7 linked regions of the Canis lupus familiaris genome follow. The protein of the gene in region 5 purifies or fractionates together with the protein of the main gene of each other region. This does not show direct contact. Links are inferred from orthologs where the notes say so. Each region holds a gene or a part of one and is shown on either strand. Other genes may lie near its edges.

Region 1 (4,934 bases), on a different chromosome or scaffold from region 5:
CAACCATTCAACTTGACCTTGCCTGTGGGAAAACAGCCACAGACAATACATAAACGTAGGCTAGGCGCATAACTCTGCTTCAACAAGACTTTGTGGAAACTGAAATGAACGTTTACATGATTTTCACATGTCACAAAATATCATTCTTTTTGTTTTTGTTTCAATTACTCAAACATGGAAAATCTGTTCTTAGCACTGAAAATGGCTGCACAAAAACAAGTAGACCAAGAGTTTGCCAACTCTGGTCCAGTCCCCATGCTTTCCACAGCTAATGGGCAACAAGCTTTACTTTACCCCTGACTGCCCAGGTGAGGTGTCATCACGCAGAAAACGGGAAAAATATATATGTGATACTTATACATTTATATTATATAAATATACATTTATATATATGAAAAAAATAAAACAGGAATAATACCTTCCAGCCAATTATGAGGAGTCACTGAGACGATGACTACACAAGCACTCGGAATTTCAGGCTGGGCGGCACTATACAGCAACAGTGGCAGGTGGCAGTGATCATGAACACTCTCCTGAAAAAACTAGCTTCCAAACTGCACTGGAGCAAAAACTGTGTCACGGGAAATTATCACTAGGGTGATAGTGAGAGATGGTAAAAGAATATCTACGTCGGATATTCCAGGGCCCACATCCTGGTTCCTCAATGTATGAAATGTACGTCCTTCGGTATTTAAAATCTCTGATGAACATAAATTTCCTCAAGCATAAAGGAGTTAAGATATCACTTACCTCGTAAAACTATAACACAAGGAAACATCCACCTAGGGTCACGCACTTAATAGGTGCTCCGTTAAAAAGAAAGAGGGACGTGGCTCAGCGGTTTACCGCCTGCCTTCGGCCTGGGGGGTGATCCTGGGGTCCCGGGATCAAGTCCCGCGTTGGGCTCCCTCATGGAGCCTGCTTCTCCCTCTGCCTGTCCCTCTGCCTCTCTCTGTGTGTGTCTCTCATGAATAAATAAATAAAATAAAGAAAAAAGGAAAGGAAAGGAAAGGAAAGGAAAGGAAAGGAAAGGAAAGGAAAGGAAAGGAAAGGAAAGGAAAGGAAAGGAAAGGAAAGGAAAGGAAAGGAAAGGAAAAGGAAAGGAAAGGAAAGGAAAGGAAAGGAAAGGAAAGGAAAGGAAAGGAAAGGAAAGGAAAGGAAAGGAAAGGAAAGGAAAGGAAAGGAAAGGAAAGGAAAGGAAAGGAAGAAAAAAAGGGGCATCGCCTTCAGGGTGCAGATCCTAAATATTCTTTGGGAGACGGTAACAGAGAGAGAGAAAGTAGTGAAACTGGAGTCTGCTCGCGTCTTGGGACTCGAACCATGGTTTCCTGCCACCCTAAGGAACATACGGAGGTCCCTCCAGGCGTCCCTCAGGACCTTCCAGCCATACTCCTCACCAGATAACCGGGAACTCTTCTACACCCCCAGACCCAAGCAGGCTACAGAGCAAAGCCACTAAACAAATCACATTCTGGACGGTCACTTGGCTGTCACCAGCCCCAGCCTGAATCACAGATTAATGTGTGACAGGCGGGCGGGCAAGAGATGACACTCACCTGCCTCGGGAACAGCCGGCAGGTGCAGACCCCACGTTACAGTAGTCCCGCCAGGCTGCGGTCTCCAAGCGGTGAGAGTTCGTCCCGAGTTAGATTTTTAAATCTCGCGGGAAGGCTCGGGAGCCAATCGGCGCTTCCGCCCTCTGACCCGGAAGCAGAGTCTGCGCGCGCCGCGGCAGTCCCCCAGCGGAGACCGCCTTTCCTCCGGCTATTTCCCGACGCCCCCGGTGCGTATCGCGCGGGAGCCCTAGGGGTCCCTGCTGCTTTACTACTGGCTGCACAGCGCTCCCGTGGTGTCCTTGCGAGTTACTTCTCTCCCGGGCCGCACCCTGTCTTTTCCCGGACCTCAGGCTTTGGGAGGTGGTCGCGGGGTCTCGCGGGACTTGCCTGTCTGGGAGAGGCGTTGGGGCTCTTTGCAGCGCAATCCCTTCCCTCCTCTGCCTTTCCAGTTTTAGAGGGCACATCGCCCCCCCCCCCTCCCCGCAGTGTGCAGGGAAACCCTGAAATGCAGTGAGAGTGGGCACTAGTTTAAGGAGCAAGAAGGGGACCGAGTTTCCTGACCTGGAGTCTTTTCCACTCCCCACACCGCCGTGCCTCTCTAAGGGCATCCACCTGCTGGTCACCCTTAACACATGTCAGGTCCCGGATTCCCACTCGTATGCTTACTAGGTTATAGGCTACATGAGTTGGGATTCCTCTCCTTCTCCGTAAATACTTCTCAGGTTCTTGATGTGTTCGTTACTGAGCCCAACTGTTCTCAGGACAACTGCGTCCAATTAAGAGAGAAAACACAAAAAATAAAAAAAAAAAAAAAAAAAAAACCTCTTTACATTCCTGAGTCTTATCTGGGAATGCTACTTTCAGAGTGCACACCAGGCCATAGCAGGTTAGTTGAACTTTTGTGCCTGGTTTTATGAGTATTATTTTTATATCACACATTTTGACACACCTTTCACCAGATCTTATATTTTCGATCTGCTTATGTTATGGCGCTTTTCACACTGAGTCATAACTGTTAGCGGATATTGTGATCTTGAAGGCAAAGGGGCTGTTTTTCTTCCCTAGGATTAGTGTCCAACGCATAGTAAAGTATTACAAGTGCTATCTCCTCTTACGGGCATGGCAACTAACCTACTGAAGTCTCGATTCTTCTGTAAAGTGGCAGCCATTTCCCTCCTCTTAGGTTTGCAAGTGTTAGGTGTCATGATGTTAGTAAAATCCTTAACATGGCACCTGCAAATAGTGCTCTGTAAATGTTAATTTATCATTAATTTTTTATGAATATATTTACAACTAAAGTGATTACATCTTCAAGTACTCACTGTATCTTCTGGTTAAACAGGTTATTATGACGATTTATTCTGCAAGTATTATAAAGTATTTAAACAAGTACTTGAATTTTTTTTTTTAGCTGCCTGTGGCATCTGAAATACCATGTCCTTATTTTGATTCAGTTGCTGAAAGTGACTGATACTTTGACGTTTTCTATCTGTGTTGTGTCTCTGCTGTAATCCACAGTTTCGTCACCTTGTCCAGTAGAAGGCTCTTTTATTACAACTGCTCAAGTATTGACATACAACATGAAGCAAGATGCCACAAGAAGTGCTGCCTACACTGTGGATTGTGAAGATTATGTGCATGTGGTAGAATTTAATCCCTTTGACAGTGGGGATTCAGGAAACCTAATTGCATATGGTGGCGGTAATTATGTGGTCATTGGCATGTGTACTTTTCAGGTTAGTGTACAAAACTCAGTGACTGACAATGAAGCTATTTTACTGGTTAAAAAAACAAACTTTGGTAAACTGATTAAAGTTGGAAAGCATATTGAGTTTGAATGTAATAAAAAAAAATATGAAGAACTACAGAGGAAGATATTTCCAGTAATATATGCCTGAGATTTGTGCAAACATTAGTGAAAAAAAAAAAAAGACCATGAGGCCTGTCTTTTGCCTAATAATTAGAAATGGAATATTCTGGTAATTGAAGGTTGTGACTAACTGAACATTTGGTATGTACAGGGAAAACACCAATTAAATGAGATCTAAGTAATCCAGTTTTTTTATATTCTAGGCTTTGACACGGAAATCAAGCCTAGAAGAATGATCCTCTAGGAGATTTTACAGCTGTCGTGATATTCAGCTTTTCTATTAGTATGCTCTCATGCTTTTTATTCATCTAAAGCATAATCCAGAGTATACAAAGTATGAGACCCAATTAATTGAACAGGCAATTAGGCATATTCATTAAGATTGAACTCTGGAGCCAGAATGCCTAGGTTTTTACCCCTGTCTGGCTTTACCTCTTAATAGCAATATGACCTCGAGCAGGTACTTAATCTCTCTTATATAAAAATGAGGAAAATAATACTTAATAGGATTTTATGAGAATGTAGTTAGTACATCATGTGAAGTTCCTGTAAGGCATCTGCATGTTTAATTCATATATACATATTATATACATATATATATATACACACACACACACACACACACACACACACACATATATATATAATGTTTTAACTGTTATTAATTCGGCATTGTTTCCCTCTAGCACAGGCCCATGGTTAATCACCAAAGCAGGATGCTTTGCGGTGAGCACACACCATGTTTTCTCACAGGAAAGCTAGTTCCACATGTGAAAGAGTCTAAACAATCAGAGTTCAACCCTCAGAAATCTTGGCTAATCCTTTGTTTACCAGAATATTATTCATAAAACAATATTTCTCAAATTAAGGTTAATCAGTGAGGTAATATGGCAGTGATCAGTTTTCAAAGATTTAAAGTAACTTTACCACTAGAATGGTACTATTATAAACATAATTATTATTTCCTCTTTTACTCACGAGGCAGTTCAGTATTTTATTTCAATATAGTGTTTTGACATCATAAATGCAATTTAGCATTTTATAGTACAATAAGTAAAATTATCCAAAATTAGACTGCATGCATATTTATCCTAAGGAGAAAGTATGAATTCAAGCTTTCAGGTTTTTGGTGTTTGAATGTAATATAAAAGCTCTTACATTGTGCCACATTGTCTCTCTTAGGGTTAGGGTAGGAATTGCTAGCCATGACCCACAGCCTGACTTTAGCTGGACTACTTCGTTAGGATTATAAAAAGCCGACATGATTAAGAGAAATAATATAACACACTTTTGAAAAAGACTGAGGGGAAAAAAACATTTTTCTGGTACAGGCTACTAACCCACAAAAGAATAAAGCAGCTTCCTACAGGTGAAACTAACTTTTTACTTAATCACTTCTAAAATTAATAACTGTGAATACAGAATTGTGTTAAAAAATACTGAAAAAATTTGTTTTATCTCTAGTTTATGTTCAGCTAAGAAAGTCAAGAAGGGAGGAAAAAATCCAG
Region 2 (4,249 bases), on a different chromosome or scaffold from region 5:
TGTACTTTTATTCAAGCAGGGCTTAATATAAACTTCTCTTAAGTCAGAATTTAAAATTGTAATTCAGTCATGATATCAACAATAGTGGTAAAATGAAAAATATGTCTAGTCAAAAAAATCCCCACCAAAATCAAAAGATGAAAAAAGGGACAAGATCCTATATATACTGTTGTTTAAAAAAAAAGAGTACAATAATAAATTGAGGAACACATAGATTGGCAAATATTAACAATGATAGCCTGCATTTAAGTGGGAAAAGGGCATCCTCTTATATGGAGTATGGCAATATAAACTTATGTATAATATTTTTATGTATTTTTATGTATAAAGTTTGATAACATGTATCAGAGCTTTAAAACTATACAAATATTTTAGCTTACGAATTCTACTTCAAAAAAATTATCCTAAGAAAAGCACATAAAGATGAACATGTAAGGATAATTAATCACTGTGGTTTTGGATAGAATAAAGAAACATACTGAATAAGTTGTCAAATAAAAAGGGATTAGTTATTATACATTTACATAATTCAGCCAAAACCTACAACATAAAATGATCCATATGTCTTATTACGGAAAGCTGCTTATAATACATCATATTACCACCCAACAAAAAAGACTTGTGTATCTCCACAGCACTTACTTTCAGCTTCATGAGCCTTCAGCAGAGACACAGGCATAGTACCCTGTCTAACATCCCAAATACTCAGCATTCCATCCTGGCCACCAGTAGCTACAACATGCTGCTGGTTGGGATGTCTATCAACACAGTGGAGGGGCACTCGGTCACCAGTCCTTTTATAGGAGATATAATGACATCAAACATGTTGTGAAATATGATTTATCTTTGCATAATCCGTGAAACATATTTCACTCTAGCAACTAACTAACTTTGTGGCTGGAGCTATTGGCTGAACTTAAATCATGTCAAAAAATTGGGTGCATTAAATATATTTCTAAATATTAGAATTTTGCAATGGAATTAAAGCCAAAATTATTCTCTCTTCAATTTGGAGACATAAGGAACATGATAATCTGATGGTAAGATGTGCAAACATATTTCCATTTCTTGGCATTTAAAAAACTTTATGTACAACTAAACAGCATATTCTTTATTTCTTATTTGACTTAATATTTTGCCTATATAATTACTTTTTCACTTTGACAAATTCTATATTCTTTTTTTTCTATATTCTTATTAGAGAAAATTGCACACATAAAATTTTTTGCTCAGGCAAAAATATCTTGGATTTTATTTTTATCCCAATCACATCAGGAGTGCATTGTATCAGTAGAATCATTTGCTGAGCAAAATTAAATTCCCCATTAAATAATATAACTTTCAAGAGATACAGGCTCTGAATCAATATGACAAATATTTTAGTAAATATGCAGCAGAGCAGTACCAAGCTCATCAAATTATACTTGCTTTACCAAATTTAATCAGGGATCATTCTCTTCAAATGCAATTAAAATACAATATGGTTTAAAGTCAGTTGTTATAAACAATTGAACAAATTAATTGTTCACTACTAAAATTACAAATGAAAACTTACAGTGATAATATCTGAGAAGGCTCATTTCCTTGTTTTCTGAAATCCCATATTTTTAACTGCCCAATTGAATTTACTGTAAGAATCTCAGGAGTTCGAAGGAAGGTTACAGCATGGAGTGTACTGCTATCTGCATTGTCTACAAATTAAGAAAACAGTAGTGTGTGTTAATGAGTCCTATTTTCCCATTAAATTCCTTTTTAAAAAAAAGATTTTATTTATTTATTCATGAGAGAGACATAAGCAGAGGGAGAAGCAGGCTCCCTATGGGGAGCCGGATGTGGGACTGGATCCCAGGCCCCTGAGCTCAGGACCTGAGCCAAAGGCAGACACACTTAACCACAGAGCCACCCAGACGCCCCTCCACAAAATTCTTAATTTGCATTCCTTCTATTGATTGAAATATTACAAGTGAACTTTTAAATAAGTCAGTTTAATTTCTATAGAAAAATGCACAGGAATATATCTGTTAAAATGGACTCTCCTTTGATAGAAAAATTATCTGTCTTACAGAACAGCTGTTTTCCAAACAGAAGGCTGAGTTTTCACATATTTCTCTATTTCCACTTACGACTATTACCCTCCAATGCGGAGACAGCTATTTAAGTTCCTCTATTTCCAGTTTTTTATCTCCCGCTAGTGCTTAACCCAGAACCTCCCAACCTCAGTGCTTCCTATATAGCTTATTCGGAACTTGTATCATTTGGCTGACTTATCTCAAATCTATTCATCATTAGGGGCACCTGGCTGGCTCAGCTGATAGGGCATGCAACTCTTGATCTTAGGGTTCTAAGTTCAAGCCCCATGTTGGGTGTAGAGATTATTTAAAAATAAAATCTTAAGGGGCGCCTGGGTGGCTCAGTTGGTTAAGTGTCTGCTTTCGGCTCAGGTCATGCATGATCCCAGGGCCTTGGGATCGAGCCCCATGTTGGGCTCCTTGATCAGTGGGGAGCCTCCTTCTCCTCCCTCTGCCTCTTCCCCTTCTGGTGCTTGCGCTCACTGTCTCCTCTCAGATAAATGAAAATGGAATCTTTAAAAAAATAAAATCTTAGAAAAAAAATCTCTTCATCTTTAGCCTCATTAACTCTCTTCTCCATGAAGTCCTTCTGGACTGGTATACTGGTCCTTTAAAGATTTTATTTATTCATGAGAGACACACAGGCAGAGACATAGGCAGAGGGAGAAGCAGGCTCCTCCCAAGGAGCCCAATGTGGGAATCGATCCCATGACTGGGATCACGTCCTGAGCCAAAGGCAGATGCTCAACCACTGAGCCACTCAGGCATCCCTACCTAGAGGGTTTAAGCTTAATATCACATAATTTAGCACCTACTTCTTGCCTTTTGTTTTGTGACACTGCTCTAAACTCCAGGCAATGGTCCTTAATCGTTAAATAAGTGTTCTTCAGAATTAAAAAGAATAACAAACAACACAAAAAATGGATCCATGGGCTCAATCCACAGAGGTTTGATTCAGGAGGTCTAGGGTGGTGGATCGTTAAAACTATTGTCAGGCAAGTCTGACAATGTGAAGCATAGTTAAGAACTACTAGACTAGAATAATCCTTCCAAAACATCACAGGGAGTATATCATCCCCCTGCCTCAAGTTTCAATGGCTCCTTAGTTGCCCACCTGACAAAATGTAACCTCTGTGGTTGTGCACTGGACTCTTCAAAACCTGGCCCCAATTTAATTTTCTTGCTTATCTGTCCCCTCTCCTATGTAAATATCTAAAACTATACTTCTTGTCATTCTCTGAATGGACTTATCCTGCCTCCATTTTATTCCTTTTGTTTGGTGTGCCATCTTTTAGATTTGTGGTCCAGAACCTAGTTTAAATTAATTGCCTCTTGCTCCTCAATTCTTCCATTATCCTCTCCAGTAAAAAAAAAAAAAAAGATCAAACAGCTTTTCTTTTGTCGTCACTCATTCCTACATGTCTTATCAACATTTGTCTTGTAAAGGGCTCCTACTTTGTATATTTTCACATCCTTCAAACATTTAGCATTACGTTTGCTTAACACCTGGTAGGTGCTCAATTATGTGATAACAAAAGAAATATATTTTGCTTACCTATGGTTCTCACAGCCTCCTTGTGATCAGCTCTAAAGAGATTTATTCGACCATCTTCTCCAACTGTGACAATTTCTGGGCTGTTGCACACAACACCTGTGCATGGTGCACTGCTATAGGAAGGACTTCCCGGGCCTGTGTGGTAGTGAGCTGCTGTCCACTGCTGGCTGACTGACAGAGTCTAGGTTTCCAGAATGACGATATGATTAAACAAAGCGAAGCCCTAAAAACTAGCACTTTTCCCTGAATAAAGAGTATTTTAAAATCCTGGCCCACACCCTTCTAGAAAAAGAGTAACTCTCTCCTTTTTCCTTTGTATTTCTGGGCACTAAAGCCTAGAAACTACTTCCATCAAAGTTCTGTATACACTGGATTCGATGAAAAAAGAAATCCTATTAATATCTCAAACTTTAAAAATATTTTATTTAAATTCAATTTGCCAACATATAACATCCAGTGCTCACCCCCTCAAGTGCCCTCCTTAGTGCCCGTCACCTAGTTACCCTATCTCCTCACCCACCTTCCCTTCTGCAACCCTTTGTTTCCCAGAGTTAGAATAATATCTCAAACTTATCTCAAAGAAATGATTGAGGTATCAGATAGTTGTATGTTCAAAAGCTACTCT
Region 3 (4,249 bases), on a different chromosome or scaffold from region 5:
GGTAAATTTATACTGTGTTTGTTTGTTTGTTCATAAGAAGGTAGGATCCGAGGGTGCATTTTACTACATTTACCCAGTATACAGCATGCTATCAACTGTATGAAAAGATGGGGATAGGAAAGAGGACACCATGAGAAGATAAGATTAGCTGGAGGGCTACATGAAATCTCAGGGAAATGCTCTAACTGTTCACCATATTTCTATCAAAAGTAAAGAAGAGAACTTTTGCCAGAAATCTGTTTTTAACTGTTAGACAATAAAAACTGAGAGTAAACTGATGAACTGGCTACCCCAAATATTAAAAAGGTAAAATGAGAGGAAGGAAGTTGTGGTATAACTTCTTTCTGCACTTCAAGTGAGACCATAGTTCAGATCAGGGAAAGGCAACTCTTTTATAGAAAGTAGTTTTGTGAATTGGAGAAACTAGAAAGAGGTTTCTCTGCTCCATTTGAGCTTTATGTAAATTCAACACGGACACTTCCCAAAATGGAAGGAAAAACTGGCTGAGGGATAGTAAGATAAGGTAGAAGTCTACTACAGAATAACTGATTAGCTTAAAGTTAAATGCCTTCTAACCCCAAGCAATCTACACATTTAATGCAATCCCTATCAAAATACCACCAGCATTTTTCACAGAGCTAGAACAATCCTAAAATTTGTGTGGAACCACAAAAGACCTCTAACAGACAAAGCAATTCTGAAAAACAAAACTGGGGGCATCATAATTCTAGATTTCAAGGTATTATAACAAAGTTGTAGTCATCAAGATAATATAGTTGGGGGCAGCCCTGGTGGTGCAGCGGTTTAGCGCCATCTGCAGCCAAGGGCATGATCCTGGAGACCCTGGATCGAGTCCCACATCAGGCTCTCTGCGTGGAGCCTGCTTCTCCCTCTGCCTGTGTCTCTGCCCCCCTCTCTCTCTGCATCTCTATGAATAAATAAATAAAATCTTTAAAAAAAATTAAAAATAAAAAAGATAATATAGTTGGTACTGGCACAAAAACAGATGCATAGATCAATAGAACTTCAGAATAGAAAACACAGAAATGGACCCACAACTATATGGTCAACTAATCTTCGACAAAGCAGGAAAGAACATCTAATGGAAAAAAGTCTCTTCAACAAACAGTGCTGGGAAAACTGGACAGTAACATGCAGAAGAACAAAACTTGACCACTTTCGTATACCATATATCAAAATAAATTCAAAATGGATGAAAGATCAAATGTGAGACAGGAAACCATCAAAATGGTAGAGGAAAACACAGGCAGAAACCTCTTTGACCTTGGCCGTAGTAACTTCTTACTAGACATGTTGCCAGAAGTAAGGGAAACAAAAGCAAAAATGAACTATTAGGACTTCATCAAGATAAAAAGCTTCAGCCAGGGGATCCCTGGGTGGCTCAGCAGTTTAGTGCCTGCCTTCGTTTGCCCCAGGGTATGATCTTGGAGTCCCGGGATCGAGTCCCTCATCAGGCTCCCTGCATGGAGCCTGCTTCTCCCTCTGCCTGTGTCTCTGCCTCTCTCTCTTTCTCTGAGATTCATAGAGATTTCTGTCTCTATGAATAATAAATAAATCTTAAAAAAAGAAAGGTTTGGCACAGTGAAGGAAACAATCAACAAAACTACAGGCAGCCTACAGAATGGGAGAAGGTATCTGCCAACATATCTGATAAAGGGTTAGTATCGAAAATCTACAAAGAGGGCAGATCAGATGGCTCAGCAGTTTAGCGCCACCTTCAGCCCAGGGCATGATCCTGGAGACCTGGGATCGAGTCCCACGTCGGGCTCCCTGCATGGAGCCTGCTTCTCCTTCTGCCTGTGTCTCTGCCTCTCTCTCTCTCTCTCTCTCTCTCAAAATAAATAAATAAAATCCTAAAAAAAAATAAAATCTACAAAGAACTTACAAAACTCAACACCAAAAGAATAAATAATTCAGTTAAGAAATAGGCAGAAGACATGAATAGACACTTTTCTGAAGAAGACATCCAGATGGCTAATAGACACATAAAAAGATGCTCCACATCATTCATCATCATGGAAATACAAATCAAAATCACAATGAGATACCATCTCATACCTGTCAGGATGGCTAAAATTAACAACACAAGAAACAACAGGTGTTGGCAAGGATATAGAGAAAGGGGAACCCTCTTGCACTGTTGGTGGGGATGCAAACTGATACAGCCACTTTGGAGAACAGTATGGAGGTTCCTCAAAATGTTAAAAATAGAATGATCCCCCATTATTCAGCAATTACACTAGGTATTTAACTAAAGAATAAAAAAATACAGATTCGAAGGGACAGATGCACCCCAGCATCTAGAGCAGCAATGTCCACAATAGCCAAACTATGGAGAGAGCCCAAATTTCCATCAACTGATGAAGACGTGGTGTGTGTACACACATACACACACAGATACACACACAGAAATATTACTCAGCCATCCAAAGGAATGGACTCTTGCCATTCACAATGACACAGATGGAGCTACAGTATATTACGCTAAGTGAAATAAGTCAGTCAGAGAAAGACAAATGTCACATGATCTCACTTATATGTGAAATTTACGAAAACGGATGAACACGGGAAGTGGGAAAAGAAAAAAAAAAAAAAGACAGAAACAAGCCATAAGAGACTCTTAAAAATAGAGCACAAACTGAGGGTTGATTGAGGGTTGTGGGTGGGGGATGGGTTAGATGGGTGATGGGGATTAAGGAGGGCGCTTGTGATGGGCACTGGGTGTTGTATGTAAGTGATGACTCACTGAATTCTACCATAGAAACCAATATTGCACTATATGTTAATTACCTAAATTTAGAGTAAAAATAATTAAAGTTAAATGCCTTATAAAGATCCTAAACAAGCAAAAGGCATACCCACTCAATGAAGGAAGAAGGTGGTTAAGCACTGTTTTTCTTTAAGCTGCTACCACACTGCACTAACCTGCAACATGCAGTAACTTGCTGTTTGGACATCTCCAGTTCTATCGACATAACTCTCCATTAAGTCCACTCCATCTTTAGTAAGGCCTGTAAGCAGTATTCCTTCCAAATTTCCAGCCTCTTTCATTTCGTTGGTCAACTTTTCAATATATCTATTTAACTGGAAAATTCAAAGTGATTTTTCTGAAGCAATTTGTTTCACTATATACTCTGTACTTCAAAACTTATACTTTTGGAATAGTTTTATTTTTATGGAACACATTTTAAAACAAAGCCTTCGCAAAAATCTAGATGTGATCTCTTAAGAAGTCTGCATCTGTCATAAATTACAATGTAGCATTCCTGGTTATTTAAAATATTTTTTAAAAAAGGCATTCATTATATTTTAGTAATTATTCTATAAAAGAACTATAGAGGGTTTATTATTTTAAATTTAAAGAGAACTGTCCCTCAGTATTCTGCAAAGTTTTATTGTAATAGAAACATAGAATCTGAGTTGAAAGGGAACTTGAAGATGATCAAAAATAATCATCTGTTGGTAAGGTCTCTGACTTCATCCCACCCCAAATTCTAGTCTATATTCCTCTCTGTTCCCTCAGCACTTCCTGCTCATTATTATAGTGCTTAGCACCTTTTATTACTGATTGTTTATGGGCGTTTCTCTGTCACTATATACACAGCATATGCATTCAATACTTATTTATTGTATTAGGAAGGAATGAAGGAATTTTTTTATAGCATCCCTAAGCGGTGAATTTAATGTCTTTATCTCTAGATCAAAAGCAAAAATAAACTAAAATATTAAGTCAGGAATCTTAAACAATTTTGGTTACAATACACATGTTTACAGTATCTTGATCTAATAAATTATTTTTAAAGAAGAATTTATATGTTACATACACATATTTGTACATGAAGATTAGTTTCCTAATCCAGTAACAGTAAATATTAATCACTTCAAATATAGAATTAAACCAATTTTTACCTGACTATCACTGAGGAATTTACAAGCAAATGCCACTCTGTCACGTACAGCAACTTTGTTTTCATACTGAAAAGAAGAGCAAGAAGTTACTTGTGGGAGCTAGGAGTTTTAAATTCTTGCAGACTATTAACCTAATAGTAATTTTATTTTCAAATGTATTAGTAAGTTATTGTGTATATACTGGCAGAGCCTAAGAGGCCTTTCTTAATGTATCCCTCTGGAAACTCAGCTCTAAAATTATTGTTCTTGTAAAGTAAAAATTTACATCTTAAATACTGACCAATTCAGTTGTAAAACATTCCACTTCAGTCTTATATAA
Region 4 (4,249 bases), on a different chromosome or scaffold from region 5:
TTTTAAATATTTAAAACCAGAAAAATTACCAAGAAAAAAAAGACTATTTCTCCAATTCTGAATAGCAGTTACAACATCAGATTCTTACCATAAAGTACTTGTATTCCCTCTGTCATCAAGTGAATTTTTCTACTAAAACAACAAGGCTTAAAAGCCAAAATTACCTTAGTTCCCTTTTTAACATATTTAGCGTTGTCTTTTTCAATGTCGTGCCATGATCTTATAGGCGTCTTCAGTTCATCTCCAACCACCATTCCAGGTCCCTGAGTTGCTGGACCGCCAATGAACATCATGATACGAGCACCAGTGTTGGGAAAAGTACACTATAAGAAAAAAGTAACTTGTCAAAAGAGTTTAAAGGAAAATACAAGTTATACATTTCTAGAAGTGAATTTTGATATACATTTTCCAGAAAACACAAAAGTATACATTTCCCAAGAAATAATCAAATGTTTAAAATGAATTTAAAGACAAGGTATTTGTTTAAATACCTTTCTTTTGAAATCCTATTAATAGTGCCCTCCTAACTTTAAAATACTCTATAAACTTGATTCCTATAAACAAGGATGCTTCTCCTGCTTAACTAATCCTAGACTGGAAGGAGTAAAGAAAGAGTGAAAAGAGTGCATCTTCTGTTTTGTTGTTGTTTTATTTTTGTTTTTTATGTTTAAAACAAGCATAGCTTATATTTCAAATTCAAGATGATAGACTGAGTGCTCCAATCTACCTCTCCTTCCTCCTAAGGTACCAGTGACTTGAGAAAAAATGGTATTATTTTGAAAATAAATAAGTAAATAAATAAAAAATAAGAGTGCTATAAGTAGAACAGAAATTTTGAGGAATCCAAATACACTGGATTACAAAAGTTATACCATCTATTCTTTTCTGAAGCTATAACATAACATAAAAAAAGTGCTATGTTTTTTGTCCAGTAACTAAGAAAATTGCAAATAAAAGCATTTCTTCTTTTTTTTTTAAAGATTTTATTTATTTATTCATGAAAGACACAGAGAAACAGAGGCATAGGCAGAGAGAGAAGCAGACTCCCCCAAAAAGCATTTCTAATATGATTATATAAATTTTTCTAATTATGGGGATGCCTGGGTGGCTCAGTGGTTGAGCGTCTGCCTTCGGCTCAGGGTGTGATTCCGGAGTCCCAGGATCGAGTTCCACATCGGGCTCCCTAGAGGGAGCCTGCTTCTCCCTCTGCCTACGTCTGTCTCTCTTTCTGTGTCTCTCATGAATAAATAAATAAAATCTTAAAAAAAAAAAGTTTCTAATTATGGAACAAAGTAGAGTAACTATACACATAGAAAAGATGTAAACTCTATAATGATATTAATAAATAAATTTAAATTTTGATGAGGAAGGGGATATTTGTATGATTTCAAAGACCCTCACCATCTAATGCTTTTCAATTACAAAAGGAGGGAAAATAAAAGTATGTTTACAGTGGAGAAATCTACAGATACAATCTTAAGAAGTGATCACGGTGGGATGCCTGGGTGGCTCAGCAGTTGAGCATCTTCCTTTGGCTCAGGGCATGATCCCGGTTCTGGGATCGAGTCCCACATCAGGCTCCATGCAGGAGCCTGCCTCTCCCTCCCTCTGTGTCTCTGCCTCTCTCTGTCTCTCATGAATAAATAAATAAAATCTTAAAAAAAAAAAAAAAAAAAAAAAGAAGTGATCATGGTGACTGTATCATCTTGAATGGCAAATGAAAATCACAGGCCATGTGATAGGGTGTAATGAGAACACAGAATTATTTCTACAATATTCTTACCAATGATGTAAGACCTGAATCTAACTGTGTGGATACATCAAAACAAACCTACTTTGAGAGAGCCTATAAAATAACTGGCCTGAATCTTCCAAGCATCAGGTTCATGAAAGCAGAAGTTGAGGAACTGTACCTGACTGCAGGAAACTAAAAAAAACATGCTGCTAAATACATGTCTCTGAATTAAATCTTTTTAGTAAAAGAAATTGAAATAACCAGCAAAAGTTGAATGAGTTCTGAAAATTAGGTGGTAGTAACATGTCAGTGTTAATACTCTGATTGTAATAATTGTATTGTGGTTTTATAGAAAATATCCTGATTTATAGGAAATACAACTCAAGTTTTCAAGGGGTTGGAAAGGTGTCAACAATGTAAATAGTTCAAAGGGAAAAAAGTTCTTTACAACTTCTCTGTAAATTTGATAGCATCTCACATTTTTAAAAAGCATTTTTTTAAACTCTCTTTTCTAATTATAAAGCTTAAGATCTGTGTAGTGTAAAATTTTCAAACTCTACTTAAAAGCAAAATTCCCCTTATCCTACCACTGCTAACAGCTGGACGAACACCCTTCCAGGTGCCTCTCTATACACAAAAGGATATACCATAGGTCAAACTTTAAATGTAATTAGATACTTGTCTTAATGACCTGGTTTTCTCACTCAACAACATTACCTTGTACATATCATTGATACACACATACACATTTACATTTCCAAAACAAAGCTATCGTCACTACCTCAAGTAGTCCTACAGCTATGGAAAGTGCCACTCCAGAGGAACGCAAAGGTCTCTTCCCCTGTGGTACAGGCCAAGGGTCTCGCTGCAGTTCTCCCAGAAGATCTGTGAGATTCATGTCTATTTTCTGTACTGGCTGCAAGAATCTGCAAAGCAAAGTTAAATAAAAAGTCATTTATAAATGTTTGTAAGAGTTCAAGAAACAAACTGTTCACTTTTTTAGAAAGAAAGAAAAGTATGGGACACTTGGGTGGCTCAGTAGGTTAAGCATCTCCCTTAAGTTCATCATGATCCCAGGGTCCTGGGATTGAGCCTCCCTCTCCCTCATGTGCTCACTCACTCTAATAAATAAAATCCTAAAAAAAAAAAATTAAAAATAGAGAAAAGTAACTTCAATACATGGCAGACCAATGGCTCTCTAACTTTTGTGTACATCAGAACTAGTAGAAGAACTTATTTTAACAGATTGCTGATTGCAGAGTTTCGTTTCAGTAGGTCTGGGGTAGGGCCCAAGAACTGCATTTCAAACAAGTTCCCAGGTGATGTTATCTACTGGTCCAGAACCAGTCTTAGCACAACAACTATAAGTAAAACACTCACACCAAGTATTACTTCAGGACTGCGCCTTTTATTTACCGGCCTGGTAAGTTTTAAGGCTACTGAAGTAATTATGAGAAGATACATCAACTCAATTTTAGTAATACCACCTCTAATTAGTAAGTTTAGGAGGAAAAAACTACCTGTAAGGCTAAGAAGGCAAAATGAAAAGCTTTTGCAGAACCTAGTTTTGTTTGGCTGCCTTCAACCACAAAAGTTTTTATGAACTTAAAAATAGATCAGGAACATATCAAAACTAAAGTAACTCAACATTGTAATGATGAGAAACCAACCATTTTGGTGATATGATTCTGCCTCAAATCTTTAGAAGGTATACTAATGCAATATATTCACATTCTTAAAAATATTTAACAACATAGTATCACTGAATGTCTATGTTCAAGTTAAGGGTACAGGATGCTTAAAAGAGCTTCACAAATTGTAAAAATTATCTTTGCCATATTTCATTATTACCTATTGGAAGGAGGTGGCTGCTGTACCTGAGGACCACGTGTTGCTTGAGTAACAGGTACTTTAGAGAGTCCCAGCATTTCCTGTAAAGAGATTTTTTCTGTGATATCCGTTCAATTACTCCAAAGATGTATCAACTACTTACCATGCGCCAGATACTGTGCTAGGTATTAGGAACCCAAAAATAAAGAGCATAAAGTCTTTTTCTCAGAAAGCAAAAAGTTCAGTTGTGGAGACAGTCAGATAAACAGTAACAAGACAATGAAATAATCACCATGAGAGAGCAAAATACAAGGTACTATAGAAGCAAAGAGGAATATTAGCTCAAAAATACTTTATTTCTAATTAATAGTCAAGTTACTACATAACTTGAATGTATTTCTTAAATTATATTCATCCATCCCTTTGAGCAACTTCACTTGAGAAGTACCTGCTATGTGTCAGGCATCTAATGGTAAATATATATATATATATATATATATATAGTCCTTGACCTTATGAAATTAAAATCTGATGAAACAAATAGCAGTTAATAAAATTGTTAGCTAAAAAAGTATAAAATTGCAATTGTAATAAATGTTATAAAGGAGAGGTACATGGAATCATATAAGAGTTATAATGTACACACACCTTTATGCCTATACTTCTTAATTTTTTAGTTACTAC
Region 5 (4,249 bases):
AGAGACACACAGAGAGAGGCAGAGACACAGGCAGAGGGGAGAAGCAGGCTCCACACAGGGAGCCTGATATGGGACTTGATTCCGGGACTCCAGGATCACGCTCTAGGCCAAAGGCGGCGCCCAACCGCTGGGCCACCCAGGGATCCCCTCCCTGTTGGCTATTTTGGCAATACTCTCCCTTCTCAGGTCTGTTAGAAGGCACCTTATTGCTTCTTCCTGCTCAGATAACCAATACCATGCAGTTTTGTGGTTGTTGGTTTATTCCTCTCTGCTTCTATTTTGGAGTTTGTGGAAATATCTTGTTACCTAGTTTTATTGTAAATGCTGTGAAGTTTTGGTTGTGCTCTCTAGCTGCTCTGTTGGGTTTTTACAGAGATGAGGAAAGACTGAAAAGCTGTGATGCCACTCCGTACCATCTTCTCAGAAGTCTCTCAGCCTACTCATTTTTGCAAGTTAGTCAGCAGATGGGAATCTGAGTACCTTAAGTAAAGACTCTGAGACAGGCTCTTGGGGGTTCTAGGGGCTGGACAGACTATGGATCCCCTGAATTTGAGAAGTACCCAAGTACAGCATCAAGCTTGGGAGCTACTAGGTTTCCATCTGAGTAGATTTTAGAAATGTTTGGGGCCACCAAAGCTGGAACTGTTGTATAGTGAGAAGGTATACAGAATCTGGGTTCTAATTCTGGCACAGGACCTTCTCTAAATCATTTACTTTTTCTGACCCTCATCTGTCTTGCCATAAAATGGGAACAGAATGGCTTACTTGCATGCCTATACACTTGGTAGCTTCTTCTTTCATTTACAGACACTTGTAAGGATTACATGACACACAGTAAGGGTTAAGTACTGTGAGAGATTCTTTACTGTCTACAGTGCTTTCTGGACTATTTTAGCCATAATATCTAATGACTGAAATGCAAGGAACTGAATTCCTAGGATGTTCTTTATAACACTACTCAGTTCTGGGGGTCCCAATGACCACTGTAAACATGTCAACTTGAGGTGTCCATAGCAAAGGCAGCAGGTAAACAGGCTACTGCTGCCACCTTGCCAAGGTCCTGGCCCTGCCTGGTTTGGGAGCTTGCTAAGAGGAACCTGTGCCAACCCCTGCCCTGGGCCGAATGAGGCTGGTATAGCCTGGCCTCCCTGCATGCAGCCTCTGTCTGGCTTCAGAGCTAAAGAGGCTCAAAACTGACCCACCAAGCACGTCTGAGCATCATTCCCTCCCCAGCCCCCTGCACAGCAGTGAGGCTACTCCTGCCACTCTCTCAAGAGTCTCCAGGAGACACATAGCAAGGCAACAAAAGCACACTCCATGCACAGGCAAGGTCTAGACTTACAGTATGAGCATTGTTGATCTTCTTTACTTCCCACTGGCCCTCTCCGGTGTATGTCAGCAGGGAGATGGCCCCATCTGAGCTCCCACAGGCCAGTATTAGGCCGTAGTCATGGGGGGCCCAGCACACAGAGTTTACTGCAGGAAGGAGAGAAGCATAGTTAGCAGACTTTGTTTCCCAGGTTTATCATTTTACTAAATTTGAAAAATAAAATTGCAGGGATCACTAGGAGGAAGTTTTAATTTTGTCAATTAAGGAGACTTAAAAAGCTCATCATCCATGAATATAATAATTTCATAAACTACCGTCTACTTTAACAAAAAGCAAGATGGGGTGAAATAGATAAAGGGGATTAAGAGTACACTTACTGTGATGAGCGTAATGGACAGAAATATCGAGTCAGTGTAATATACACTTGAAACCAATGTAACACTGTATGTTGATAAAAATAAATTAATAAAACCAGGGGAATAAAAGCAGATAGAAAGTAATCTGAGAATAAAGGCCAGTACTTTAAATGAATAAATTTTTTAGAAAACTTACTGTTTTTACCTTTTCTTATTTCACTTGAAATTGTCTTTAGGTCCTAGGGCCTTATCTCTGCTGTAGACAGCAGAAAAGCCAACCAAACCCAAGGGACAAAGGAGGAGCATCACAAGGGAAAGGAATGCAAGGCCCCACCCACCTGCTCCCACTACACTCACTGTACCTGAGGAGTCATGTCCTGTGTGCTCGTGTGTCTTCTCCCAGGTGCCATTTTCCTCCTTCCAGATAATGACCTTCCGGTCATAGGAGCAGGATGCCAGGATGTTGCCATACATGGGGTGGGCCCAGGCCACTTGCCACACAGGACCCTCGTGACTACAAGGGGACAGACAGGGTCAGAGGCTGCTCAGATGGGTCACAGGAACCTGCGGTGCTCTGCTAGCCACTACTCTGGACTGAACTGAATGGCTTTCTTGGTAGGCAGATACAGTATCTCAGGACAGAGTTGCCTAAGAATTTTGTAACGGAGAGCTATAGGATGTCACTGCCAAAGGGGACCTTTGTTGGGCAGTAAAGGTCCTGAGGCCCAGGGGCTTTGAAAGTAAGTCAGGACTTTAACTCAGCTTCTCTATCCTGACCTGCCATAACCCTCCCTTGTCCCACAGTGTAGCCAGTACCACCTACATCTGCCATCATCAGAAGCCTCTCAGCCTATTCATTTGTGCACCAATCAATCCAGGGTTTGTACTTATAATTGCTCAGAGGTGTTTGTAGAGTAAATTGTTCTTCTGATCTTTATGCATTCACCTGGTCAGTAATATCTGAGCACATACCTGGTGCTGGGCTCTGTACTGGGGCTGTCTCTGAGGTGCAGGGAAGGGTGGGAACCCAGCACACAAGAAGTGACACGGCAGAGAGGTGATGGCCCAGGCTTTTCCACCCCCACTCCCCATTCACTAGCTGCTTGACTTTAGGTAAGGGTCATGTCTTTTCTGTGGCTTAGTCTCCCAATGGAGATACCAGCAAGACTTCTTTCAAAAGTGTGCTCGTGAGGGGGAAATATGTGTGATAACTCACGTAAAAAGCTTGAACAATGCTGGGCACAAGAAAAGGAAAAACCACTCATGCCTGTCAGCTGCTATTGCTGTTCTTTGTTCACTTCTCTACCCCAGGGCTGCAGACACTCAATGTGTCCTCCTCTTTCTGGCTGGGACAATTTCCAGGCCCCACAAAGTAGCTGCCAAGGAAACTCGGAAGAGATACAAATGTCCTATAACTAGCAGTTCAACTGAAGGCAAAAAAAAGGGAGGAGGTGTGAATCTTTTTTATTCCTCTAATATCATACATCATTTAAGCATGAGAAAAAGAGCGCAGAAGAAAGGGCCAAGTAAGAGCAGATGCGATCGCCTCTGCCAGTACCGGTGCCAGGCAGCATTCTGCACAGCCTGGGGCTGCTCCTGCTGCACAAGTAGCATCTGACCCCTCAGTCACTCAGTTTTTGACTCAAGAAGAGGGGGACTCCGTCTCCCCAGATGACTACTTAGTTATGCCTTCTTTAATTCAGTTACCAAATGTGTACTGAACTCCTATTCATCAAGGTTAATTTCTCCTGTGCAGTCTGCTGAAGGCTTTGGTCCCTTCTCAGAATAATGGATACAATACACAGAGTTAGAATTACAAAGGAAATCCAATTAAATGAAATACAGTTAGTGAAATGTTGAAGAAGGATTTATAACATCGTGATACATGTACTTCTTTGTTAGCACATTAACAAACTCGAGTGGGAGGTCTAATAACCACTCTCATCTCAAAGTAGTGATGAGCCTAAATGCTACTTTGAGACAGCTGTAACTGGAATGTGCTATAAAGATATCTGTGTCTTCTACTGGTAACAAAGTTACAGGTGTTCTGAATACTGCTGTGGTTTCTAGCCTAAATCCATCATTGAAGGAAATGCTAAATATGAGTCACTGACAATAAAGATGTGATTTTTTTTTTTAATCTCAGCCCCAGTTCACCAGTCCCTGAATTCTATCCACCAAACCCTTGGAGATCTGTGGAACTCAGGTTAAGGATTCCCATTTACTTGAAATGTAGTGGACTGAGGGATAGTAGTAGGGATGTAGCCACAAAAATGAGCCAGGATCTCAAGAATCTTAGTAGGGAGAGGGGAAATCAAACATTTGTAAATATTCACTGAATATCTGCTATGGGCAGGCAAATAGGTAAGATTATAGAACTTACATAATTACTAATGCATTCTTACATAAACATTATTGCCTTTGAGTGATACTTTAGATCATGTCAGCTAAATTTAAAAAAATGTTCTTTCCACTTTTAAAATAACAGCAGCTGAAGGCATGCTGTGAGCAGGCTCCACCTGGGAGGCAGCAGCAATGGCCCATTTTGAGGGTGAGGAGGTGA
Region 6 (4,249 bases), on a different chromosome or scaffold from region 5:
TGTCTCAGATTCTTTACCCCATTCGACTGCAGCTCTTTTGTTGGTCTTAGTTGTGTCAGACAAGAATGGTTTCCCAAGAGCTTAGCTATCTGGAAGAGAAGAAATGATGGTGGTAGGGAATAGGGAACAGGAAGGAGACAGGCACCAATAAGGCACCATTACTTTCTGAGATTGTGAGATAATTGGAAAAGCAGAGTTCCATGAGGTGTAATTATACATTTATAGGTAGATTCGGAAGAGCCCGTCTTTGAAGCAGTCATCAACTGGGTGAAGCATGCCAAGAAGGAGCGTGAAGAATCCTTGCCTGACCTGCTACAGTATGTCCGGATGCCCCTGCTGACCCCCAGGTACATCACGGATGTGATAGATGCTGAGGTAAGACCTGCAAAACACATAGGATCCAAAACCTTGAATATCTCTTGCAGCTTAGTATTGTGTACTCAGGCCTCCCAGTTAGCCTATCTAGGAATGCCGGAGACGGTGGTTGCGAGGTCGTCTCCCCACAATTGCATGGCAAGTCAGCCTTCTGGAAATGGAAATCTATGGTTTAATTTTCTGTTTTCTTGTCTTTTTGTTTTATATATTCTTATGTGTTTTACATAAGCAACATCAGATGATAACGTCCCCTTCATCAAACATAAGTTGTTCCAAACTACTCTAAAAAAGATGCTTTATCAAGTCTCTGTTTTTGACCTCTCGTGAAACCAACACAAAAGTAGTTTAATGGATTTTAATATCAATTTGGGTTATACTGTGTTTTTTTTTTTATACTGTGTTTTTTTAATAAAAGTGTTTCTCTAGCCCAAGTTCTTGGTGTGTGCTGTGTTTTCATAATGTTTACCATATATATCACCGATTGACCTAGACCAAACAAGTACTGCTGTTTAACATACAGGTGAAGCCCAGGTCAGTGAATGCATTCCTTCTGGCCCAGCCCCAGACCTCTTGGGGACTTAACTACATATATAGTTTTCCAGGTCACATTAGAAAAATTGCAGGCTGGTTAGTGCCATGTGTCAAACTCTTCTCATATTTGTAATTTCTTTCTAGCAACTCCTGTAGCCATCATGTCTATTTCTTTATATAGTGATCCATAGCTCAGACTCTCGAGTCAGACTCAGGACTGAAATCCCAGATTGACCACTCGTCCTGCCCTGAGGGAGCCCGGCCTCACTCCCCTTCTCTCTCTGAGCTCCTCTACAGCTCCTCACTGGCTGAGCCCAGCCAGAACCCAGAGGGCCTGGGGACCACATGACCTACTTCATGTAGGCCAATCTCCTAAACCAGCAAGCAGAGTGGAGAAGGATGCAGAGTGAATCTAGGAATGTGAAGAGCTGCCCATTACAGAGCGCCGTCAGGTGGAGACAGAGGCATTGTGACGGTGCTATGAACCTTGGGGAAATTATTTCAGATAAGATTTACTATTTCTTATCATCCCAGGAATTAACAGAAGCCTTTTGGTTGTCCCTTAAAATTTTTATTAACTATTACGCACTTAAGTTTGTGTAATCACTGGAAGGATATACAAACAAACAAATAAAAGTAGTTAATGCCTAGTGCTGAGGTGGATAGGGAATATTCCTCAGGATTTCTTTTTATGTCATTTGATTTTTGAACCATGTAATGATATATTGTCTATTAAAATTTTTTAGTTTAATTTGTGGAGACTACATAATTGCTAGCAGCCCTTCTGGAACCACAGAGCTTTAGAAACTGGTTTTCTCTACCAAGAAGTTATTTCTTATATGTGCCATTTATATTCATATTCAAGATGTGGCCCCTGTGGCTCATTCTACCATCTGCTGTGTTTCAGCCTTTCATCCGCTGTAGTCTGCAGTGCAGGGATCTAGTTGATGAAGCAAAGAAGTTTCATCTGAGGCCTGAACTGCGAAGTCAGATGCAGGGACCCAGAACAAGGGCTCGTCTAGGTAAGCTGGCATCTTGGCAGAAGGAGGGGATATTTTTCAACTCCCCCTTGCCAGGTGGCATGATGTAGTTAAAAAGAACATTCAGGAAGAAATACAAAGACCTGTTTCGGACCTGTTTTTAATCTTTTAGTAATGGCGTCCTCTTGGACAAGTCACTTCACCACTCTGAGCTCTCCTATAAACTAAGGATACCTTCCCTATGTATTTGACATACCTGGAGGATTAAATGGAATAGAGTGTGTAAAAGCACTTTCTAAATTGTCGAGTATTATGCAGCATGAGTTATAATTTTATTTCACTATTTTTGGAGTCCTGTGAATTAGAAATTATTTCAAATGCCAAGTTGTATTTCGCCATTCTGGAATAAAACGAGGAAGAAAAAGCAGCAGGACAGTATAAAGTACAGGGGTGTTGGTAGTGACGTACAAGAGTTCAGAGCCTGGACTCTGGAGCCAGACTGTGTGGGTGCCGATCCCAGCTGACTACTTGGCACGTATATTAGCTTTGGCAGGAAATCTCACCTCTCTGTGCTTCAGTTGCCTCCTCTCTAAAGTGGGATCATAGTTTTACCTCAAAGGTGGTTATGAAGAGTTAAATGAAGTGATTTATGTAAAAGGCTTGGGCTAGTTCTTGGCACCCGACAAGTGCTGTATACATTAGCTGTTATCTTAGCAAAGAGACTTAGGTTCAAATCACAGCTCCACCAGTGACTGGTTGTTTGACCTTGGGTAAGGTATCAATTTATCTGAGCCTGTGCTTCTGCCTGGAAAATGAGGATACTAATGTCTTATTTCCCTGGATGTTTGTGGAGATTAAATGCCTGACATTGAAGCTGACGGGTAGTAAGTACTCAGATATTACCTCGCTTCTGTTTCCTATCCTCCCTATTCCACTATTGTAGGTTATAAATGATCTATGGGGTGGTGTTTTGTTTTTGGTATTGTCTATTTTTTCTCTTACCTAACTGTGGACTCGTGTATATGAGGGTGTTAATTGATAATTAAGCTGTTCACTGATAGTTTGAAGTAGAATGATTCGTGGGCAGCCCCGGTGGCTCAGCGGTTTAGCGCCACCTTCAGTCCAGGGCGTCATCCTGGAGACCTGGGATTGAGTCCCACGTCGGGCTCCCTGTATGGAGCCTGCTTCTCCCTCTGCCTGTGCCTCTGCCTCTCTCTCTCTTTCCTCTCTGTGTATTCTCATGAATAAATAAATGAACTCTTAAAAAAAAAAATAAAGAATGATGACTCATCCCCTGATTTGTTTTAATTGTATAAGTACCATATGTCAGTGTATGTCAGTATGGAAATGTTAGAAATACAGAGAAGATCTTGAGAGATTCGAATGTGATTCTACATGCCCTTAGGGTATTGAGGTTATTTTTCTGAAGTTCCGGAAAACAAATTCTGAAGCTGTCTCCAGCTAGATTCTTTTTTTTTTTTTTTTTTAAAGATTTTTCTTTATTGAGACACAGAGAGGCAGAGACACGGGCAGAGGGAGGAGAAGCAGGCTCCCTGCGCGGAGCCCGATACAGAACTCGATCCCAGGACCCCAGGGTCACTCCCTGAGCTGAAGGCAGATGCTGAACCACTGAGCCACCAGGTGTCCTTTCAACTAGATTCTTTTATTAGCATCTCCTTGTCAGTGTCTTAGAAATAAATTGTTCCTACTATCATGTTCTCTACTCATCTCCCTTCATAGCAATTGCTAAACCAGCTACCAGGATAATGACTCTTCTGCATACAGCATAAAGAAATTAAATTTACAGCTACATAAAGATGGCATTCCAAATAATGGGTGGGGATTTTGTCTTAGTTATTTACTTCTTACCCATAACTCTCTCACAGAGAATACAGTGGATATTGCCATTTCTAATTTGTCACAATCTCCTTTTCTGAGCTAAAGAGCAATACATGTGGAAATGTCGTCTCTGAAGCCTGTGATGTTAGCAGTCCTGCAGTCGTATCTACTATAGTCCTCTGACTGCATACCACAGCTTGCACACATTCCTATCTCCCCTCCCCAAATAATGACAAGGGTGCTGTCAAGATGCCTTGGCTTTACTAATGTGCTTTTTCATACTGTTTTTGTCAGGCGTTTTAGACATACTCTCCTCATTCTAAAGACAAAATCTAATTTAACAAGTCCCATCCCCTGCCCCCTCCTCCCCCACCCCATTCATTGGCAAAGAACAAACAGGTTTCCTTTTTTTTTTTTTTTTTAATATTTTATTTATTTATTCGACAGAGAGAGAGGGGCACAGGCAGAGGGAGAAGCAGGCCCCATGCAGGGAGCCTGACGTGGGACTTGATCCCGGGTCTCCA
Region 7 (4,249 bases), on a different chromosome or scaffold from region 5:
AGTCAACACTGGCATTGCACTGAGACTTAGCTGTTTTTCCGCCAGCAGCTGTTCAGGCAAGGTCTCCTGGTGCAGCAGAAAGCGCTCCTGCTCAGCCATTTCTAGAATTCAAAATGAGAGGCGGGGAGAGGAATAAACTCTTCTGCTCCATCATAAAAAATCTGAATTTTTTTCAAAAAAGAGGAACATCTCTACAGGTAATCTCATCACTATTTGGTGAACTTAAAATGTTATTAATTCTGCTAACTCTTGATTTCTGATTATGCTAAAACATATTTATGGTGTGATCCAAATCATATAAACAAACACTATCACCAGATACAGGAGGGGAGAGAAGAGCTATGAAAATACACCCTACTGCTTGAAGAAATTGTAGAACAGATGGCTATTTTGAGGCACAAGTCCTTCAGATCGGGGGATTCAGTCCCATTTTATGGTAACTTAGGAACTCCCACCAGAGTTTCTAGCATAATCTTTCACTAGGGGAAATGATCTACTTAAAAGCCACAATGAGTATACTCCAGGAAAAACAAAACCTGGAAGCTTATGTGCCAAACCTATTAACTAGCAATGGTAATCTCAATAGGATGAGGGGACAGGGTGAGGCTTACTTGCCATAAGCCATCCAGGCTGCAGCCCATCCCCAGGCTGGGCTACAGAGGAAAAGGATCTAGAACTGCCATGCAGCCTCATAAACACAGCGGTCCCATCACAGCAAAGTACAGTGACCAAAGCACAAATATGCTCATACAAATACTGACATCACTTCACAATCAAATCATTTTTGTGCAATTTCCATACATAGAAAAACAGACTGGGAGGATACACAAAACAGTAATAGTAGTAATCTCTGTGGCAGTGAGATATTATATAGACAATTTGGGTTTTTTGTTTGTGTTTTTCCTGGTAATTTACAAATTTCCATAAGGAATTATTCACATTACCAGAAAGGAAGTTATTTTTCAAAAATCTACTCCCTATGTCCAGATACACTGATGACAGTCTGTAGGTAATTACTGACATCTGAAAATACTCCCATTGTGTTAAGAATGTGAAAGTTAAGAAGTAATCAAATCAAAATGACCAGTTCTAACGATTTCTGGTGGGTGAGGTAGCAAGAAATAAAACCTTGATTTAATTAATAACATGGTCTATCTCTGGTGATCAGACTAAATTATGGCTTCCCACGTCAGATTATCAGCCAACCTTGCTGAATTTATACACACTTCTTTAGAACAAAAAAGGACTACCAGTGCTTAAAAATAAAAGACTGAAGATTTCCCTCAACAGTGCAAAATAATTTTTTTTTAAAAACATATTTTATTTATTCATGAGAGACACAGAGACAGAGAGAGGCAGAGACACAGAGGGAAAAGCAGGCTCCACGCAGGGAGCCCGACATGGGACTCGATCCTGGGTCTCCAGGATCACACCCCGGGCCAAAGGCGGTGCCAAACCGCTGAGCCACCCAGGCTGCCCAAATAATTTTAATAATAAAAATTAAATGCTAATCCTAGGATATATTAAATAATATATGTAAGACTTTTTTTTTTCAAGAACAGTGCCTCCAATCCTTGTAACTACCCATTTTATAGCTGAGGAACTGAGGCCTGTCAGAGGGTATCCAAAGTCACAAAGATAGTAAGCTGGAGAAAATATCTGAAATCGGATCTGTCCAATTTCCATCTAGATTCTTTCCACTATTCCCACTCCTCGAAGAAACAAATGACAGCAGTATAATTAGAATCTGTACCTAAGAGACTGGACTCTGTGGCTAAGCCCTGAAACCAAACACCTGTATTTGCATACAGTTCACCCCTGAACAGATAGCTAAGATCCCCCTCCGATTTTTATTTTGAAAAATTCCAAACCTACAGAAAAATTTAAAGAATACAGTGTACACTGTATACCTGGAGTTACCTGCTGTTAACATTTTGCCATCCTTGCTTTATCTACCTATCTACTTATCAACCCACCTATTTGCTTTTCCCCTTAAGTAATATAGAAGTTGCAGACTTTCACACCATTTCATTTCTAATTACTTTAGCATATACCTCCTAAGAACAAGACCATTCAACCAGTATCATTATCAAGTCTGAAAAATTTAACAGATATAGTAAAGTCATCTAATATTAATTATGTTCACATTTCCCCAGTTGTCACCAAAATGTTTGTCACAGTTATTTGGGGGATGACCGAGCATCTCATACTGCATTTGGTTGTCACAGCTCTCAGGCTACTTTAATCTAAAACAGCCTCTTTTTTTTCCCTTTATGTTGCTTAATTTTGAAAAGACTGGGCTGATTATATTAAATGCCCCACAAATAGGATACATCCGATCATTCCCTGTTGTTAGATTCAGGTTGAACATCTCTAGCACGAAAGCAATGCAGGTGATATTCTGCATCACTCCAGGAAGTATGTAATGTTAATCTGTCTCACTGCTGATGATGGTCTGTTAGATGTGTGTAATGACAGTCTGAAAACATGAGATGATCTTCTACCCCTAACCCCTAGACTCAATGTTTTAGCATCCTTTGATGAACAATTAGTCACTATAGTTGCAAGATGCTTCCCAAGTCCTATTCCACACTTATCAGCTGGTATTCTTTTTTCGTAAAGAAGAATTTCACTGATCCTTCCCATTCTGGGCATCACTGTAGATTTATGAATTTTTGCTTTTAAATGGTGAAATAAAATGCTTTACTATCATTTTACTATCATTATTTTTGGTTCAAACTCGGCCAGTGGAGGCTATTTTGTTGACATCTCTACAAAAACCTTGCTCTCTGGCTCAGCAAGATTCAAGATCTTTCCTCAATAACCTTTGTTTTTACTAAGAAATAGTTAGAAGTAGTTAGAAGCCAAAACATAGGACTAGGTATACTCATGCTACTGGGGTGTCACTGCTTTTAGCCCTTTTCAGTGAACAGAGCCAGGAATACTTTAATTTTAAATAATCTTGATTCCATCTGAAATCTCCAATTCAAATGCTGTATACAGGGTTCTTCCTTCTCCTCCTAGATTTTATCTCCCTTCCCCTTGGTTCTCAAAAATGACAATGTATCATTTTCTCAACCTACAATACAACAAAATAGTTGGATACAATTATGACACCAAAAAGTTTTGAATTCTGAAACCAGTAGCTTCAAAATTACCACTATTTACAACAAACCCACTGATTAAAAAGGTCAAGATTTCTTTGCAGTTCTTCTTGTTCTTAGATTATGAGTCACTCAGGGTATACTCAGAGCACTCTTCAAATCATACATAATTCTTAGGAATTCTTATTTAACAAACAGATTTTCTGTAAAAAATAGAATCCCAAAAAATATGTACTTAAGTGTCTAATGAGACTGGATAGAAATCGCTCCTCTTAAAGGAGTGATGGGTCCTGTTTCTAATAAACCCTATTAATTACAGGAATGCATTCTAAGAGTTCACTGATAGCATGATTAACATTCAAATCCTTTCTTTTACCTTCAATTTTTTCTTGTAGGATATCCTCTGAAAAGTCTGAAGCCAATGCAGCCAATTTACTCAAACCAAGAAGGGTTTTTTTCTTTGCAAAATAATGAGTTTCCATGTTTGCCAAACCCAGAAGTGTTGCATGAGCCTACAATAAACAAAATATGAAAAATGTTAAGATTCTCAGTACTAATTCAAGTTAAGTACAACCCAAAATTATTCCCAACTGATAACAATGAAAAATCAAATTAATACTAGCAAATCTAAAACTGACTGGTACTATATACTGAGAGTGATTGCACAAAATATCAACCTGCCATACTAATTATTGGGAAAAGAAACATACATAAAACATTCCTTCTATAACAATTATATATTCACTTCAACAACTTGTCAAGGACAAACTTTAAAATTAATTCATGTATAGTTTTTACCCAAAATTTGAACATTTTTTTGTTTTATGCCATCATAAATAAAAACACTTTATTCAAATTATGTCAGCGAACAGGAGATACATATTTAAAATCACCTCTAAATAATATTTTAATCACTATAAGCTAAACTAATTAAATAAAAAACTGCCTAAATCGGCTCCATGTAACTCAATCTTCCTTACCTTTTCTAATTCTTGGCTGTTAATTTCATGTAACCAGCTAAGATGTTCATGAGCTTGCAAAAAATTTGCCAACTCTTCATGCTGAGAAATGGGCTGAGATAATAATTTGCCTCGCTTTCCTTTCTCCAGATACCAACGGAAAAGAAAGTCTGAAAAATTCTACAA

What was found.
Region 1: the proteins of SEC13 (region 5) and NUP37 purify together in Homo sapiens (affinity purification with mass spectrometry; 5 studies listed by BioGRID and IntAct, counting the BioPlex papers as one, with this or other methods). This does not show direct contact. The link is inferred for Canis lupus familiaris from reciprocal best matches to the Homo sapiens genes SEC13 and NUP37.
Region 2: the proteins of SEC13 (region 5) and NUP43 purify together in Homo sapiens (affinity purification with mass spectrometry; 3 studies listed by BioGRID and IntAct, counting the BioPlex papers as one, with this or other methods). This does not show direct contact. The link is inferred for Canis lupus familiaris from reciprocal best matches to the Homo sapiens genes SEC13 and NUP43.
Region 3: the proteins of SEC13 (region 5) and MIOS purify together in Homo sapiens (affinity purification with mass spectrometry; 5 studies listed by BioGRID and IntAct, counting the BioPlex papers as one, with this or other methods). This does not show direct contact. The link is inferred for Canis lupus familiaris from reciprocal best matches to the Homo sapiens genes SEC13 and MIOS.
Region 4: the proteins of SEC13 (region 5) and SEC23A fractionate together in Homo sapiens (co-fractionation; 3 studies listed by BioGRID and IntAct, with this or other methods). This does not show direct contact. The link is inferred for Canis lupus familiaris from reciprocal best matches to the Homo sapiens genes SEC13 and SEC23A.
Region 6: the proteins of SEC13 (region 5) and KLHL12 purify together in Homo sapiens (affinity purification with mass spectrometry; 3 studies listed by BioGRID and IntAct, with this or other methods). This does not show direct contact. The link is inferred for Canis lupus familiaris from reciprocal best matches to the Homo sapiens genes SEC13 and KLHL12.
Region 7: the proteins of SEC13 (region 5) and NUP133 purify together in Homo sapiens (affinity purification with mass spectrometry; 4 studies listed by BioGRID and IntAct, counting the BioPlex papers as one, with this or other methods). This does not show direct contact. The link is inferred for Canis lupus familiaris from reciprocal best matches to the Homo sapiens genes SEC13 and NUP133.

Annotation. Positions count from the first base shown.
Region 1 is NC_049236.1:41,260,777-41,265,710, reverse strand, and holds the start of NUP37 (nucleoporin Nup37), read left to right. Parts: upstream 1-1,692; 5' UTR 1,693-1,783; intron 1,784-2,337; exon of another isoform or gene 2,338-2,442; intron 2,443-3,074; 5' UTR 3,075-3,136; coding exon 3,137-3,292; intron 3,293-4,934. UniProt on the Homo sapiens protein: Component of the Nup107-160 subcomplex of the nuclear pore complex (NPC). The Nup107-160 subcomplex is required for the assembly of a functional NPC.
Region 2 is NC_049222.1:40,749,255-40,753,503, forward strand, and holds part of NUP43 (nucleoporin Nup43), read right to left. Parts: intron 3,806-4,249; coding exon 3,625-3,805; intron 1,692-3,624; coding exon 1,556-1,691; intron 795-1,555; coding exon 643-794; intron 1-642. UniProt on the Homo sapiens protein: Component of the Nup107-160 subcomplex of the nuclear pore complex (NPC). The Nup107-160 subcomplex is required for the assembly of a functional NPC.
Region 3 is NC_049235.1:23,148,335-23,152,583, reverse strand, and holds part of MIOS (GATOR complex protein MIOS), read right to left. Parts: intron 3,997-4,249; coding exon 3,931-3,996; intron 3,106-3,930; coding exon 2,947-3,105; intron 1-2,946. UniProt on the Homo sapiens protein: As a component of the GATOR2 complex, functions as an activator of the amino acid-sensing branch of the mTORC1 signaling pathway. The GATOR2 complex indirectly activates mTORC1 through the inhibition of the GATOR1 subcomplex.
Region 4 is NC_049229.1:17,442,461-17,446,709, forward strand, and holds part of SEC23A (protein transport protein Sec23A), read right to left. Parts: intron 3,667-4,249; coding exon 3,587-3,666; intron 2,662-3,586; coding exon 2,517-2,661; intron 324-2,516; coding exon 165-323; intron 1-164.
Region 5 is NC_049241.1:8,118,395-8,122,643, reverse strand, and holds part of SEC13 (protein SEC13 homolog), read right to left. Parts: intron 2,201-4,249; coding exon 2,049-2,200; intron 1,477-2,048; coding exon 1,343-1,476; intron 1-1,342. UniProt on the Homo sapiens protein: Functions as a component of the nuclear pore complex (NPC) and the COPII coat. At the endoplasmic reticulum, SEC13 is involved in the biogenesis of COPII-coated vesicles.
Region 6 is NC_049228.1:400,009-404,257, forward strand, and holds part of KLHL12 (kelch-like protein 12), read left to right. Parts: intron 1-225; coding exon 226-375; intron 376-1,813; coding exon 1,814-1,928; intron 1,929-4,249. UniProt on the Homo sapiens protein: Substrate-specific adapter of a BCR (BTB-CUL3-RBX1) E3 ubiquitin ligase complex that acts as a negative regulator of Wnt signaling pathway and ER-Golgi transport.
Region 7 is NC_049225.1:10,193,881-10,198,129, reverse strand, and holds part of NUP133 (nuclear pore complex protein Nup133), read right to left. Parts: intron 4,244-4,249; coding exon 4,085-4,243; intron 3,617-4,084; coding exon 3,481-3,616; intron 102-3,480; coding exon 1-101. UniProt on the Homo sapiens protein: Involved in poly(A)+ RNA transport. Involved in nephrogenesis.